2 linked regions of the Alligator mississippiensis genome follow. The protein of the gene in region 2 binds, or shares a complex with, the protein of the main gene of each other region. Links are inferred from orthologs where the notes say so. Each region holds a gene or a part of one and is shown on either strand. Other genes may lie near its edges.

Region 1 (7,790 bases), on a different chromosome or scaffold from region 2:
ATCATAGGAAATCAGGGTGGGGAGGGAGCTCAGGAGGTCACCTAGTCTACCTCCCTGCTCAAAGCAGAACCAGCCCCAAATATATTTTCCCAGCCAAGGCTTTGTCTACCCAGGTATTAAAAACCTCCAAGGATGGAGATTCCACCACCTTCCTAGATAACCTGTTCCAGTCCTTTAACACCCTCCTAATGAGAGAGATTTTCCCTAATATCCAACCTAAACTTCCCTTGCTGCAACTTGAGACCATTGCTCCTTGTTCTGTCAGCTGCCACCACTGAGAGCAGTCTAGCTCCATCCTCTTTGGAACCACCCACCCATCAGGTAGCTGAAGGCTGCTATTAAATCCACCCTTCAGTCTTCTCTTCTCCAGATTGAATAAGCCCAAATCCCTCAGCCTCCCTCCTAAATAGGGACCTACGTAATTCATAGAGGTTGCCTCCAAAGTCACAGTCCTGGCATGGTGTTGGGTGTCATTTTCATAGTGGAGCGCCACTGCACCCATGCCTCTGATTGGCTGAGGGGCCCCAGAAGTCCCACCCTTCTCCAAAGATTGATAGGTGGCCACCTGTCAATCTCCAGGGAGGGATAGGACTTTTGGTGCCCCTTGGCCAATCAGAGGCATGGGGGGGCTCTTCTGGCCCTCCGTGGGGATTGACAGATGGTCACCTATCAATCTCTGGGGAGGGGAAGGGCTGCTGGGGCCCCTCAGAATCAGAGGAAGGGAGGGGCCTCTCCAGCTCCTCCCTGGAGGTTGATAGATGGCTATTTGTCAATCTCTGGGAAGGGGTGGGACTTGTGAGACCCCTCAGCCAATCAGAGGCATGGGGAGGGGCTGCCAGCTCCACCACAAAAATCTCCTCCTGCTCCCTCCCACTTCCCTCTCCCTTCCTGGGCTTCAGCACATCAGGGCTTCCTGCCTCCGTTTGCAGCTCCCTTCATTCCCCCGTCCCCGTTTTCCTGCTTTTTCATAGACCTACCAAATTTGCAGTTTCTGCAAAACTCATAAGCCCTGTTCCCTAGCCTTCTAACCATTTTTGTGGTCCTCTGCTGGACTCTCTCCAATTTGTACACATCCTTTTTGGAGTGGGAGGCCCAAAACTGGACACAGTACTGGAGATGTGGCCTGCCAGTACAGAATAGAGGGGAATAATCACTTACACTTACATTAATCTGCTAGGAACATCCCTCCTAATGCAGACCAGTATGGTGTTATCCTTCTTCATAACAAGGGCACACTCTTGGCTCACATTCAGCTTATTGTCGACTGTAACCCTCAGGTCTTTTTTTGCAGAGCTGCTGCTTAGCCAGTTGGATCCCAGCCTGTATGGGTGCATGGGATTGTTCCATCATAAGTGCAGGACTTTGCACTTGTCCTTATTGAATCTTATGAGATTTCTTTTGTCCAATCCTCCAATCCATTGAGGTCTCTCTGAATCCTAGTCCTACCCTCCAGCATATCTAGTATTCCCCCCAGCTTGGTGTCATCTACAAACTTGCATAGGTGCACCCTATGCCATCTTCCAGGTTGTTGATGAAGATACTGAACAAAACTGGCCCCAGGACTGATCCCTGGGGTACACTTGATGCCAGCTGCCAACTAGACATCAAGTCATTGATTACTGCCCTTTGGGCCTAACAATCCAGCCAGTTTTCTATCCACCTTACAGTCCGTTCATCCAACCCGGACTTCCTTAGCTCGGTTGTGAGAATGTTGTGGGAGACTGTATCAAAAGCCTTGCTAAAGTCTCAGTAGATCACGTCCACTGCTATCCCTGGATCCACAGAGCCATTTGTCTTGTCATAGAAGGCAACCAAGTTGGTCAGGCATGACTTGCTCGTGATGAATCCATGTTGACTGTCCCTAATCACCTTCTCCAAGTGTGTGTGTGGCTTCACTATTCCTGCACCTTAGTTCCTCTTACACCAGTTTCTGCAGCTGTAATGAGGGATTTTTGCCAGCCCCAAGTGGCTCCCACTTTTGTGTTTTGGAAGAATTATAGGTCACCTTTTCTGGGAAGAGAATCAGCCTGGAATATCTCTCACCTAAAAATCACTCTTTCCATTGGCCACTAGTAAGAAGCCAAACAGAGAAAGGATTCATTACATAGTATGAAAGAGCCATACAAATAATACAGACCATAGGTTTGGAGACAGAAACATAGAACAAGTGTAGATTCTTACCCTCTCATCTGGCTCCCCCTAGCCATCCATGAGAGTCTTTTCCAGAGGCCTTTCTGCTGACTCTGGCAGTTACACCTTGTAACTGGGGCCAGCAAACTCCCGAAGCCTGAGATTCAAAGATGAATATTCTAGCTCATCTAAGGTCATGCCTGTAAGCCCCCCAAACCCTCCCCATAATTAGCAGCATTATAACGATGATGAGTAACCAGAATCCCCCAGAAACTTCTGGTGTTCTTGGAGCACCTGGAGTCCTGCTGGCTTGATGGGCCATTACTCCTTATAGCCTTCACTACTATACAGTTCATTACCCATATCATAGTGAACAATGTCCAAGGGTGCCCATCCCACCAGCAGCCCCTTTCTTTTGCTATTGTGAGTAGCAATTTTTCTGGCCCTAGAAGCAACAGCAAGAGTTAATTAGGAGTTCTGCCCACTCTCTGAGTTCTCTGGCTCTTTAGGCGACCACCGATCCTCTGGATCATGGTGTACGCCTAAGAAGTCTAGTCAGGTGCTTGGTGAATCTGCTTGTGACTGACAAGCCCAGTTTGAAAGTGACACAACTTGTTACAAGTTTCACACAGCCATGTATTGTCTGAGTTGGAGTCCAAGTTTACAGCACACTATGTCCTTCTTTCTCACTTTGCTTCCATCCTCTGGATCAAAGCTGCTTCATGGTGAGCTGCACCCAGTTCCAGATGTTCCCTCCAGATTGGACGGGATTCTGCGTGCTCCTCCCAGCTTTCTATGCTGATGTCAAACAACTTATCATTTCTGCATGTGTTGTGGTACTGCCACAGAGCGCGACCCTTCTTTCTAGAACTGCCTCGAATCTCTCACTGTATCAAATATTCTTGGGGATATGGTGTCTTCCCATTCTCCTGACTTGGTCAAGCCATCACAACCTCCTCTTCTTGATGGCGGGTCCTGAGTGTGTCAGTCCTCCGTGCTCCAGCACCTTTGTTTGACATTTTGTCTTCCTACTTTGTTCTCTGGCTAAAACATCCAAAACCATAGAGATATACACAGCCAGCTTAACATAATCCATACAGTGATAGTAGCATAGAGTTGGCACAACACTTTTTAACTGGGATTTCAAATGAGCCCACACCTGCCCTATCAGTACAATAAAACACCAGAAAATGATGGCATGTCATGGAGCCCAAAACACAACAGGGTCTGCAGCACTAGGAATAACTGTTGTGGGGGAACAACCCTTACCCTCACCCTCCATTTTCTGTCTTTACATTTCTCCTTTAGGCCTGTCTCTCTCAGGTTTGCTGTCCCAGCCTGAATCTCATGATGTTATAGGGGACTAAAACTACAGAACAAGGTCCTTTCTCTGTTGATTTGCCCTGTTCCCCTACCACATTTCTCTCCAGATTAAGTAATGGCTTGGGGGGCATTTCTGTGGTCTGGCCACTTTGTGCGTTTCCTTCTTCTTCTGTCAGTAGATAACCTGTCAGCTCTCCCCCAGCCTGGTTCTGCAGGGCAGGGATGCTCTCTGTGAGGGCCTTTACAACACTATGAGGGAAATACTGGGTAGCCTGAGCAGCACAGTGCTATATTTATGCAGGCGAGGTTCTTTGGGTTACCTTGATATAGCAGCACAGTGCAGCCTGGGCAGCACAGTGCTCACCAGCTATGCCCATGCCACTGATGGTGTGGGCAGGTGCCCGCCCAGACTCAGGAGGCACCAGTCCCCTGTGTTTGCGTAGATGTGATCTTTTATTAAACCAACTAAATAGTCGGGAAAAAAAGGTTCTTTGCACAGTCTGGCACGGAAACAGCCTTCGTCAGGCAGAGGAATGCTCTGCTATACTGATGGGTTGTAGCCCTGCTGGTCTCAGGACAGGGGAAGGCGAGTTCTCTGGGTAGATGCAGTCTCTTTTATCAAGCAGACTGAGTACTGCTATAAGAGATCGCATCTACCCAAAGAACCTGGTCTCCTAGATTTTTGGCACGTGGCCTGAGGCGCCGGCGGCCTGTCCCGTGCCTCCGCAGCCAACGCCACCGGCCTGGCGGGATGAGCGCGGGCTCAGGCCAGCCCCGCCCAGGCAGGAAGCGCGTGCGGGCTGGGGGAGGGGCGTCACTCGCAAGCCCAGCAGCTCCCGTGCAGATAACGCGCATGAGCTCTGCTATGGCCAAGTTGAGGGCGGGAGAGGAGGGTGCCGGCTGCGCGCGCAGGCCTTGCTATTGCGCAGGCGCCCTGCCTGGCCAGGCTGTGCAGGCTGGGAGGGGAGAGTTCCCGCCGGCCTTCGGGAGGCGTTGGGGGGGGTGGAGTGCGCGCGCTCGCGTTGTCTTGGCGACAGGGGCGCGCGGGGAAGGGGAAGGGGGAGGGGGAGGAGGGAGGGGGCGGGCGCGCTGCGTGGTGACGTGAATTCTATATGAGCGCGAGCGGCGGGAGCCCGGGCCCTTTTACCGCCAGCCGCGCGGCGCCGCCTCCTCCTCGCTCCTGAGTCACCGCCGCCCCGGCCCGGTCCGGCTCCGGCCCCGCGCGCAGGTACCGCCGTGCGCCGGGGGAGTAGAGTGGGGCTGGGGGGCCGCGCCTGAGGGTGGCGCCCCCCGACCCGGGGCTGGGGGCGCCCCCCCCCCCCCCGCGCCCGTAGGCCGCGCCCGGCCTGCCCGGGCCCGGCAGCACGTTGGGCCAACCGGGCCCCACCGCCACGTGAGCTGGGGGGAGGGGGCGTGAGGGGTGGCGGACTGACAGGGGCAGAGCAGGGGAGGCCGCGGGCGGCCCCGGGAACGGGGGAGGGGGCGGGTCTGGCGGCCGCACGGCGCTCCCGAGAGGGGGGCGGCTCGCTGCGGCGGGGGAAGGGAAGGGCCGGCAGAGGTTTTGCATAGGAAGCGGCCTGCAGGGAGCAGGGTGAGGAGGGCACCTGTTCATCCTCCCCTGCCGCTGGGCCCCGGTCACCTTGACTCGAGCTGCTGGTTGTGAATGGTGAAAGTGCGCACTGGCCCTAAGGAAACCTTCCCTGAGAGAGACAGCGAGACGGCCCCCTGTGCTGGGGCCCAAGACGGTGCTGAATTTAAGATGCTCCTCCCCCCCCATCAGCTTCTAGACATGGCAAACTTACCTGTTTGTTTTCGTTGTGGTTTTCCACTTGCAGAATCCAGTTATTGGAGAGTTGCCTTAAATTCCTGCTCTGCCCCCAGCCCTCCCTGCTCTGCAGCAGGGTGAGCACGGGTGGGAGGGTGGGCTGACTCCTGCCATTTGCCCCCCAACACTGCTTGGCTGCTTATAGATGCATAGATTCATGCTTCCTCCCCTGCTGCCTGCCCCCACCATCTCCGGCTGTGCTCCCACCCCCACCCACCACTATTTACTCTCTGGTCCCAGTTTGACCACATGGCAGTAGTTACTCCAGCTTCACACTGTGCTGACAGGTCTGGGGCCTGGGCTGGAGTTGCCACCATCACTGCCATGTGGCCAGGCTGAGGCCCGCCCAACCATGTGCTCCAGGCTGGAGCCAAGGCCTGAGCCAAAGGAGCTGGGCAGGGGGAACAGTTTGTGACTCGGGGGGCTTCCCGCCTCCCCCGCCCCCTGTGTTAATTTGGGGAAAAATACGGTGTCTTGTAGTTGAGTACAAACAAGCTGTCAAAGTAGTAAAAAGATTGGAAGTTTACATTTTGATTAGTGTCTCAAGGGAATCAAGACATCAATCTCTTGGTGAATACTGGTTATGCTCTAGTATATGTTTCAAATATAAGGCTAAAGACTCGCCATTGAATGGTGTTTGAACACAAGTTGAATGTATCATCTGAATCAGGAGTTCTCAAACTGTGGTACATGTACCCCACGGGGCACGCAAGATATTTCTGGAAGTACGTGGGAGAAATTATGTAATGGTGGATTTAATTTTCATTATAATAATAGATGGCATATAAGGGGTTAAAATATAATTTCTATACTGGCAGCTGGTAAATCTGGAAGGGGATGTACAATAAGAAAAAGTTTGGGAACCTCTGATGTGAATTATATGATTTAGGGATGTAAATCTGTTGTATCTTATGTTTAAACTGGTACAGATCTAGTTAGTAATTATCTGATGTCTCAAAGAAAAAAAAGGTGATGCAAAAAGTGATGACGTTTGTCTAGTTTAAATTGCCTATTCATTGTTTTGTATATACATGTGGAACTGATCCAGAAAACAGTATTTTCAGAGTTGACACTGAACCAGCACTTCTGTATTAACCCAGGTCTTGGAAGACTAGAGTTCAATTACATATTCCACCATAAATTTCTTGTCCCCCAGTTTTTCCTCCAGAGTTCTGTAAAATAAAATAAGTGTGTATTTAGGGTGCACCGATAAAGATTTTCTTGGCCGATACTGATGGCTGATTATTAGCCAGCCATATTGGCCAATACAAAGCTGGTAGCTGATTTATAGGAATGCGGCGTCTGGCTGGTAAGTCCGGGGGGGTGGGGGGGGCAGGAGGAAGGTGCAGATCAAGGCCCCCACTTGAGGGAGGGAGTGGGGCAGGAGCAGGTGTTGCCCAGCTGGGGCTGTAAATGTTACCCCAGGGCGGGGTGCGGGACGGAGCTGCAGGTAGCTTGTCCGGGGTGGGGTGGGGGGGGTGGCTCCATGTCACTGCTTGGTCCTCGACTGAAGGCATGAGGGGCAAGTGCCTCCCCTCCCAGAATTGTGTGTTGGGGAAGGGCGGGCTTGGGGCTGCACCAGCCTCTTCCCGGAAGGTGGGAGGGGAGGTAGGCTAGGCCAGAGCTGTGGGTAGGGCTCAGGTAGGCTCAGCTGTTGCAGAGTGCAGTGCCTTGAGCAGGGACAGCACTAGGGGGCATTTGGGGGGCTATGACCACCCCAAAGTTTTCCATAGTGCCCCCGTAGCCACCTCTCCCAGCGCCACTGCTGCCTGCCCCATACAGCTGAACCTGCCTTGCCCCTGCCCTGACTACAGCCCTGGCCTAGCCCCCCTGCCAAAAAGAGGCTGGCACAGCCCCTGGCACCATGCCTGCAGCGGGCAGCCTGCCTTCACCCCACGCACAAGTGGGGGGGGTGGGCACACATGGCCCCCATGCCTCCACTGAGCGGCCCTCCCTTCTCCACCCCCCATGTCCGCCCGATGAGCCTCCGGCGGCTCCATCCCACACCCCGACCCACCTGGGCAGCAGCTGCCCCTGCCCTACTCCCTCCCTGTTGGGGCCTCAGTCTGCCCCCTTTGCTCCTTCCCCCCTGCCCCCCCCCCCAATAGACTTACTGGCCAGAGGCTGCTCTCCACTCTGCCAGGCTGCAGCATGCAGCTGCTTGCATGCACACAGCATTTATCAGTGACTATTGGCCAAAAAAAGCCAATTGCCAATGATGTTAATTTTTCTGTTACCGGTGCCCATCCAATTTGTGACTGATATATCGGTGTACCTCTAGTGTTTATACAAAAGTTTACTTCTAAAAGATATTTTGGGGTTAGGTGGCAATGATTATTAATTTGCTAACTGTGTGCATCTGCAGGCTAGTGTCTAGCTAAGCAGTATTAATAACTTATAATAATGAATTAAGTGAGTTATATCACTTGAAGCCAGAGAATTCCAAAGCAGTTCATGAACTTAAGCTGATCTACAAAAATATGTATTAGGAATCATTACATGCCCTTCTAGA
Region 2 (7,819 bases):
GGACACACATTAGTAAATCAAGTCTTGCAACCACTGCTTTGTATCAGGGATGTGTTTTACTAGGGACGGGCTGTTGATCCACCAAGAGATGAAGGCCAGTGTTTCCAAAAATAACCGCTGATTTAAAGGTGTGTCTATTTTGGGTGCACAGTTTTACATGCTTCACTTTTCAGAACTGCTGAGTATTCACTACTGTAGCTGAGGAAACTGGGAGATCCAGGGCTTCACAGATAGTCTGAATTTTTGGCACAATTTGGGCATCTAGAATGTGACACAATTAAAATCAGCCGCTATTTCTTTTTTCACCTGAGTTCACTTGGCAAGTCATGGGTAGATTTGAGAACTGAACCCCAAATTCCTAAGTCTTACTACCATGGTCAACCTAATAGAAGCTGTTCCTTCCTCCTATCCTGTGTCCTTCCATGGGACAGAAAGCCAGCAGCAGTATGTCAGTCTGGAGAAGCAGCTCAGATGCTGTGCTACTGAGTCTAAAACCAAAGGTGATCTCTTTACCAACAAGTGAAGTGTGCTTCCATATGAGAGTACCTCAGAGCCACAGTTAGGAGTATAGGGAAGAAAATAGCTCTCACCTGCTCTGTTCCTGACAAACAAATACTCCTGATTGGGTTCCATTAAAACGCCTGTGTTGCATTTCTGGTGAACAGTTTCATCTCCCCATTTGCATCATACGGCTATGTACAACCTGAAGTCCAAACGGTGTTCTACAGAGGGGAATTACTCTGAATACCAGGTAGTTCCAAATAAACTCATGATTTATGCCCAGGAATAAATTATTTTTAAAAGCAGTGTTGGTACAAGCTGCAGAGAGAAGATGGAAAAAGCCTGGGGACTGCCAGAATGCTGCCACATAAAATCCTTTTCTGTCAACGATGGAAAGAACGTAACCACTTGTTCTAGTCCAAATTACCCAGTCCAGCGGAATCCTAAAGATCCTTTAATCCCTAAAGACTCGCTTCTGTTTCCAGTGACATCAGCCTGGTTTCAAAGGACACAGTATCAATGGCCAACCACCTTGCCATTGCCTTGAAGGTGAAGTGGCTATGCTGAGAAGGTGACCAGGACATGCAGACAAATTAGTAATCCCCTCCACTTCAGCCCCTTCCCTAGCACCATCACAGTGGAGTATCGCACATGAAGCACCATCAACTTCAAGTCGGGCTAGAGCGTGTTTTATCACTGAGTTTATGCCCACTGTTCCTCTCCCCTTGTGAGCAACTAATTAGTGGCTGTTACACATCGCTGGCCTCTATGGTATGCAGATAATGGCTTCATAGTATTAAAAGCACTCCTCACCCCTATTCATGAATGTTTTATCTCAACCTGACATATATAAGAGACTTAACATTTCTTTCTTGATTGATGCTATCCTTTTCTACCCCAAAAGACAATGAATCCTTCCACCCACTGCTCTGTTTCCAGGTGTGAAATCACAAAAGAAGCCATGATTAATGTTGAGAGATGCTCTTAGAGGCAAAATAACAGTGTTATAAAGCTATATCCTTTCCCTTATACTTAGAGATTAGGCTCCTAATATTTGGTTCTAGCTTTGCCAAACCTAAAAAGGAGGAAGAAACGATGGCTTTGTATCACCTTTGCAGTTTCCTAATTTTGAGACAACGGGGGATCATTTTATCACCACGCATATGCTAGAACAGTCCAAGAATTGATCTAGCTTCTACCTAGAGATTCCCAACAGCCCATTCTGGCAGCTGAGAACAGAAATGTAATACCTTGGCTTGCTATATCCTTTTCACTGATCTGACACTGCACGTGGTTGTAACTCTGGAAGATTGCTGGGGAAGTCAATCACGTCACTCCATATTTACCCTAGTCTGACTTGGAGTACAACATGAATCCTTTAAAACACACTTACATGCACAGTTGCATTCTGTCAACACAACTTGTTGGCATAAAGTTGGGAAACACACAGCCACTCTTTGGACTATGGGTGGATCTTGTCCCCCAGAGTCAAGGGGACCTGGAAATACGAGGGAGTATTTTTGCTGGTACTTGATTGCATTGCTGGATTTCTTTTCCTTTGGGAGAAACCTTGGGACTAACAACCATTCACTCAAATGGAAGAGGTCAAGTAATGGGCTTTGATCTGCAACATAGTGAGGAGCAGGTAGTAATGTTTGTGGCCTTTTCCACGGGATTTCATTCAACACACTAGGATCAGCCCCTAAGAAAATTCTGTCTCTTGTAAACATGAGTTTTACCCAAATTCCAAGAGGGACATTGTCAACCATCATCTTCATCCTGGAGTTTGAGGCACTATATTAGGTGCTCTGGGCCTAGGCCATGGAGTGGCTTGAAATTATTTGTATCTTTGGTCTTCTTTGCAGCCAGTGGAAATGCTCCCCTTAGGACACATGGGCCTGGCAGATTAGGCACTGCCTCAGGAGTGAGACCGGGTGGTGTTCTTTGTTTTGCAGCTGGTCTGGTGTCCAAGCTCTAGATACCTCTGCTTCTCCTACTCCTTGGGGCTCACGTACAGTCTATGGGTCTCTGAGACCATCTTCAGAGCAGGGCTGAGGATGAGAAAGGTGGCTTGAAACATGTTTAATCTACAGTTACACACCAATGAAACTTCCTCATCCCCTTCTCTTCTCCCCACAACAGAAATGGCCTTGCCCCTAAAGTGAAAGTTGAAACTACTCCATATCCCTCCCAGCTCATGAAAAACAGCATTTGAGGAGCCTCTCCCTCCCTTCCCAGAAGGAAACAAAGGAGCCGTGCCAGGCTATCTCCAACTCAGCTGACTTAAGCCTCTTCATACCAAGGTGAACAGTAAATTTCTCAGTTTATGGATATCAGGCTGCTGAGCACTCCCCCTCAGCTATATCAAGGAGGATTCAGCTCGAGTGCATCTGGGATCGTGGACAGCCATAGACCATTTAGCAGGTAGATCCAGACTCCCCAGCCACGTAGGGCTTTAAGGATTAAAACTAATACCTTAACCTCCCCCTGGAGACCTGGAGTCAGCCATGCAGACCCTAGAGCAGTAGGATCACAAGCTCACAGGGAGCTGGAGTAGGGGGGTCCTAGTGCAGCAGACCAGTCTCCAGGGCAATGTGCACCTGAGGCATCAGACGCCAGCTGGCAAAGGGTCTGGGCTGGCAGAGCACATGGAGACACGGGCTGTGCACGTGGGGCTACAGGTGGGGGAAGATCAGACAGGGAAGAAGGTTGTGGAGCCCTCTTCTGCTGCTGTTAGGCTGGGCATCAGCAGGGGCACCAGGAAGTCAGGCGAGGCCTGATGAAGCATGACCAGGGACCCCCAGCACGGCGCTGGACCAGCACACGGGGGTAAGGGCACAAAGGGATGCTGCTCAGTAGGGCTGGGAGGATGCAGGGGAGGGGGGCACAGGCACACGCATGCTCAGCCCTGCCCTGCTTGCCAGCACCTAATGCAGGATGTTTGCTCCTCCCCACCCAAGTCTTGAGACTTTATTTTGCAGAGGAAAAACATCTGTTTTATTCACGATTTCCCTTTTCGTTCAGTGCTGGCTAGGTCCAGATGCGGCACCAATTTCCGAGCCCTGTGACTCCAGGGCGATACAGAGATGGCCACCCCTGCCCTGGGGAAGGGCCTGGCACAGGGCGGCTCCTTCCACAACCAGGGGGTGACACCTTTCCTCTGCAAAATGAAGTCTCAAGCCTTGGGGGGGGAGCAAAAATCCTGCACAAGAAGCCCTCCGGCACGATGGCTGCTCCCCGGGAGCAGGGGAGCCGTGTCCCCAGACACAGAGGGGACTATAAGTCTATGAGGGGCGCACATCAGGGCCTGGGGGAGCATCTATTCACCAAGGCCCCCCCAGCAGAGGACAAGATACAATGGGTACAAAGTGTCTTGACGCCCACCTTGCTGGGGCATCTGACCCCAGCGGTCTGTCCTGCCCACGTGCAGGGGGGCTGGACCCGATGATCTGCAAGGTCCCTTCCAGCCCCTAACAACTATGACACCACGAGCGAGGTGGGCAGCACTCCTCTGCCACTGACTGAAGGCAGGGCCCTGCCCAAATCCCCTCGGAGAGACGCGTCTCCCGAAGGGGCGGGCCAACATCCGGCTCCCGGTGGCGGGCGGGGCTTACCGCAGGCAGGGAGACGTCACTCCCGGGCTGCCCGCGGTGGGCGGGGCCTCGCCGCCGGGCCGTGACGCGTCTCCCGAAGGGGCGGGCTAACATCCGGCTCCCGGCAGTGGGCGGGGCTACCGCTGTCTGGCACACGTAGCGTCCGAGCAGCCCGCGGTGGGTGGGGCCTTGACGCGAGTCTCGCCGTCGCGCAGTGGGCGGGGGCCCGCCTCCAGCCCCGCCCCCCCGGCCGTGACGCGACCTGGCCCCGCCCCCGCCGCCTCCTGCCCGCGGCGCCCCCCGCTCACGCAGACCGGCGCCATGGCGGAGCAGCCCGCAGCGCCCGCGCCGGCCCCGGCCCCGGCTCCGGCTCCAGCGCCGGCCGAGCCTGAGCCCGAGCCCCCCGCCGCCACCGCCGCGCCCGAGCCCCCCGCCGCCGGCTCGCAGCGCCTGCTCTTCTCGCACGACCTGGTGTCGGGGCGCTACCGGGGCGCCGTGCGCTTCGGCCTGGTGCGGCTCATCCACGGCGAGGACTCGGACTCTGAGGAGGACGAGGGCGGCCGCGGCGCCGGCGCCGGCGCCGGCAGCTCGGGCGGCTCCGAGTCGGGCGCGCCCGGGGCCGGCGGCGCGGACGAGAGCCGAGCCAGCCCCCTGCGCCGCGGCTACGTGCGGGTGCAGTGGTACCCCGAGGGCGTCAAGCAGCACGTCAAGGAGACCAAGGTGGGGCCCGGCCCGGCCCGGCCCGGCCGCCGCGTGAGCACCTCGGGGCGCGTGTCGAGCGGGACCCTGGCGTGCGGTGGCACACCACCTGCGTGCCGCGTGCGGGGCGCGCCCAGACCGCCCGGCCCCGCGCCTGTGCCTATTAAGTGGGGACATTAGCACACATGCATGTATTTGCCTAATGCCTGCCGATTAAGGTATGGGGGCTGCACCCCAAACCGCCCCGTCCCCTCCTCTGTCCCTGTTAAGCGGGGATACCTGTATATATTTGCATAATATCTACCTACTCATCAGTGGGGGCTGCGCCCTGAGTCCCCCGTCCCCGTGTATTCGTATATGAAGTGGGGATAGTCATATATTTGTACACCACCTTAGTCTTCATGTGTGAGGGTGCACCCCAAGCCCCCTCCCCTCCTATTTGCACGTTAAGTGGGGGTATTAGCACATATAATGTATCTCCATACTATCTATGTATTTGTCTCTGGTGGCTGCATCCTGAACCCCACCCCCATCCCTGCATATTTGCATGTTAAGTGGGGGCATTAGCGCATATAATATATTTGCATAGTGTCTATTTGTGTGCAGGGGCAGCACCCTGAACCATGCTCCCCATCCCCTCATATTTACTTATTAAATGGGCCCATTGGCATATATGTATATATTTGCGTAGTATGCATGTATTTGTGTGGGGGCTGCACCCCGAATCTCCCCATCCCCACGTATTAAGGGAATGTATTATGATATATGCATGTATTGAACCAGAACCCCCCCACGCCATAGTGCTCCCCACCCTGGCCCCAATCCTGGTGCAATGTGACGTCTGCCCGTGTTACCAGGCCGGGCCCCACCCGGATCTGAAATTCACTGGCACCCCCCAGTGCTGCTTGTCTCCTGCTAAAGTCAAGTTTTGCCCCCAGGTGTGCAGCCCCCCCATGCATCTGGGCTGGCCCGGGGTGTCAGGCACGCGCGTTGGCTGCAGCCATGTCTGAATGAAAGGCACATTGCTTGGAAGCCGGTCGCTGCCTCGGTGCGCGAGGGACGGGGGGACCCCGGGGGCCGCGGTGGCCTACCTCAGCCAGCTGAGCCTGTAGGCATGCCCCACAGCCACCCTGTGCCCCAGTTGCTGGGCTGCTTTGCACGGCTGCTGCTGGGAGCCAGCGCGGCCTGGAGTCGCCGTGGCTTAAAATAATTCCTCGTTTCCTTTGGAAGCGCAGCGGGTTCCTCGCGTCTGCTGGTGCTGGTGTGTTTGGGAGGAGGGGGAAATGAGCCACATCAGGTCTCGACATGTTCAAACTTGGTGTTGGATTCTGCTTGAGTCTCAACTACAGACCGTGCAGAGTCTAGAGGCAGCCACCCCGGGCCAGCCTGGGTTTTTTGGTTGAAAATGAGCCTCCCCTTCTTTCCCCACCCAAAGATTTGAAAACTGTTAGTATGTGAAGGTGAATTAAACTGTGAAGAGGTCATAAAGGAGTTTCTCCACTCTCGGTAGAAGCCGGTACAGCGTATATCCTATATCTCCTTCTCATATGGAATGTGTGAGATGTCTGTGCTAGGCTTGACCAGCTGAAGGTTTTAGACCAGGGTGGATTCATGGATTTACCCTTGTTTTTCTCTCCAGTGGTCCTTGCTGGCAGTCAGGCCTGTGTAAAGTTCAACCCCTTTACCCCTCTTTGAAGAGCTGCAAGGCATTGCTGGAAGGATTTGAGGCCTGCTTTTCCACTGCTCCCACTTCCCAAAGTTAGCCTAGTGGTGGGATTGTTACACACAGTGACTGATAATACAGGGGAGACAAAAGAGAGGGAGAGAGAGGGCACTGTATCATAATACAAAGGGGTCTGTGATGAATGGGCGTCACGCAGAACAAAACAGAAGGCCTGTGCTGTCCTGGCAGCAGAGAGGTTGTATTCTGCTCTGTGGGGCTAAGTGCAAGCATGCGCGCGCTCTCTGCACAGTCTTTGACCTCCCTCTGTAGAATCCTCCCTGGACTTCTGAAGCAATCAGTGCATTTGTAATTCTAGTAGAAATCGGTAGGATCATAAAATGCTAATGGTCTGAGCTAAATTTAGGGTCTGTCATCACCAGGCACGTGAACAGTTAAGGCACACAATATGAAATATAGAAGGCTATTAGTACTATGCACAGTATTTCTGCATTTATTTTTCAACCCTTCTTGGACTTGTGGTCCATCAGGCAATCGTTCCTTTTCACACGAAAATTCTTTTAAAAATGACTGGAGTTAAGCTCTTAAATCAATTTTTGGCACCTAAAGCATGAAGCTTCGAATTTAGGATTCATTATCAGGGTCCTTGAGTAGAAAATAGCAGTATCCATTTTCTCATGGCACCTTTTTTTCCTCTCTTCAGTATAGGCAGAAGGCTTGGCTCTCTTGCTATGAGAAATCAAAAGAGGTTGTTTAAATTAGTAGCCTTTTTCCTTTCTCTTTTATTGCCCTATTTCCTTTGCAAAGGTCAGAGACTTAACAGATAAAATGTGTTGTCGGGGGAATTCCAAAGTGCTGAAGGAATTTAGGAAGACGTATCCCTTTGACTTCTTGCTGCCCTTCCCCGTCTGAAAATTTCCCTCTACTCACCAAACTGAGAGGCCATTTGGTACAGTTTGGATTGCGTTTGTGATTCTGGTAAACCTTACAGGATATTTCATTTCACATCTGTTCACAGTTCATAAAACTGTGTATCACTTCTGACCTGAATGCTGCAGGTTTTGCTAACGCACGAGAAACTGATGGTTTTCATTGTCCAAACGTGAAGATGCAAAGTGTAAATGCAGTAATTCAGGCTGGGAAGGAGGAATGGTAACTATTGCAGTTACAGTAGTTTTAGGCATTAGCAACCAACTAGTAATAAGGATAGGGGAGGTTTCTAAACTGTTTTGAACAAGACTTTCAATGGCACCTTTATTGGTGAAACTACTCACTTTGCTTTCACAGAAACTGTTCCATGCAATTACTGCTGATCTGATAAAATGTTGGATATAAGATGAACAGT

The links.
Region 1: the proteins of UBE2O (region 2) and NAP1L1 are in contact, whole or in part, in a cryo-EM structure (PDB 7UN6), measured with the Homo sapiens proteins. The link is inferred for Alligator mississippiensis from reciprocal best matches to the Homo sapiens genes UBE2O and NAP1L1. Residues at the interface, in NP_071349.3 of Homo sapiens: Ser225, Asn226, Val282, Lys283, Pro284, Val285, Lys289, Ser290, Lys291, Phe292, Arg293; in NP_001317160.1 of Homo sapiens: Arg333, Arg337, Thr343, Gly344, Glu345, Ala346, Ile347, Asp349.

Annotation. Positions count from the first base shown.
Region 1 is NC_081827.1:74,579,798-74,587,587, reverse strand, and holds the start of NAP1L1 (nucleosome assembly protein 1-like 1), read left to right. Parts: upstream 1-4,573; 5' UTR 4,574-4,681; intron 4,682-7,790. UniProt on the Homo sapiens protein: Histone chaperone that plays a role in the nuclear import of H2A-H2B and nucleosome assembly.
Region 2 is NC_081831.1:13,954,011-13,961,829, reverse strand, and holds the start of UBE2O ((E3-independent) E2 ubiquitin-conjugating enzyme), read left to right. Parts: upstream 1-4,391; 5' UTR 4,392-4,415; coding exon 4,416-4,814; intron 4,815-7,819. UniProt on the Homo sapiens protein: E2/E3 hybrid ubiquitin-protein ligase that displays both E2 and E3 ligase activities and mediates monoubiquitination of target proteins. Negatively regulates TRAF6-mediated NF-kappa-B activation independently of its E2 activity.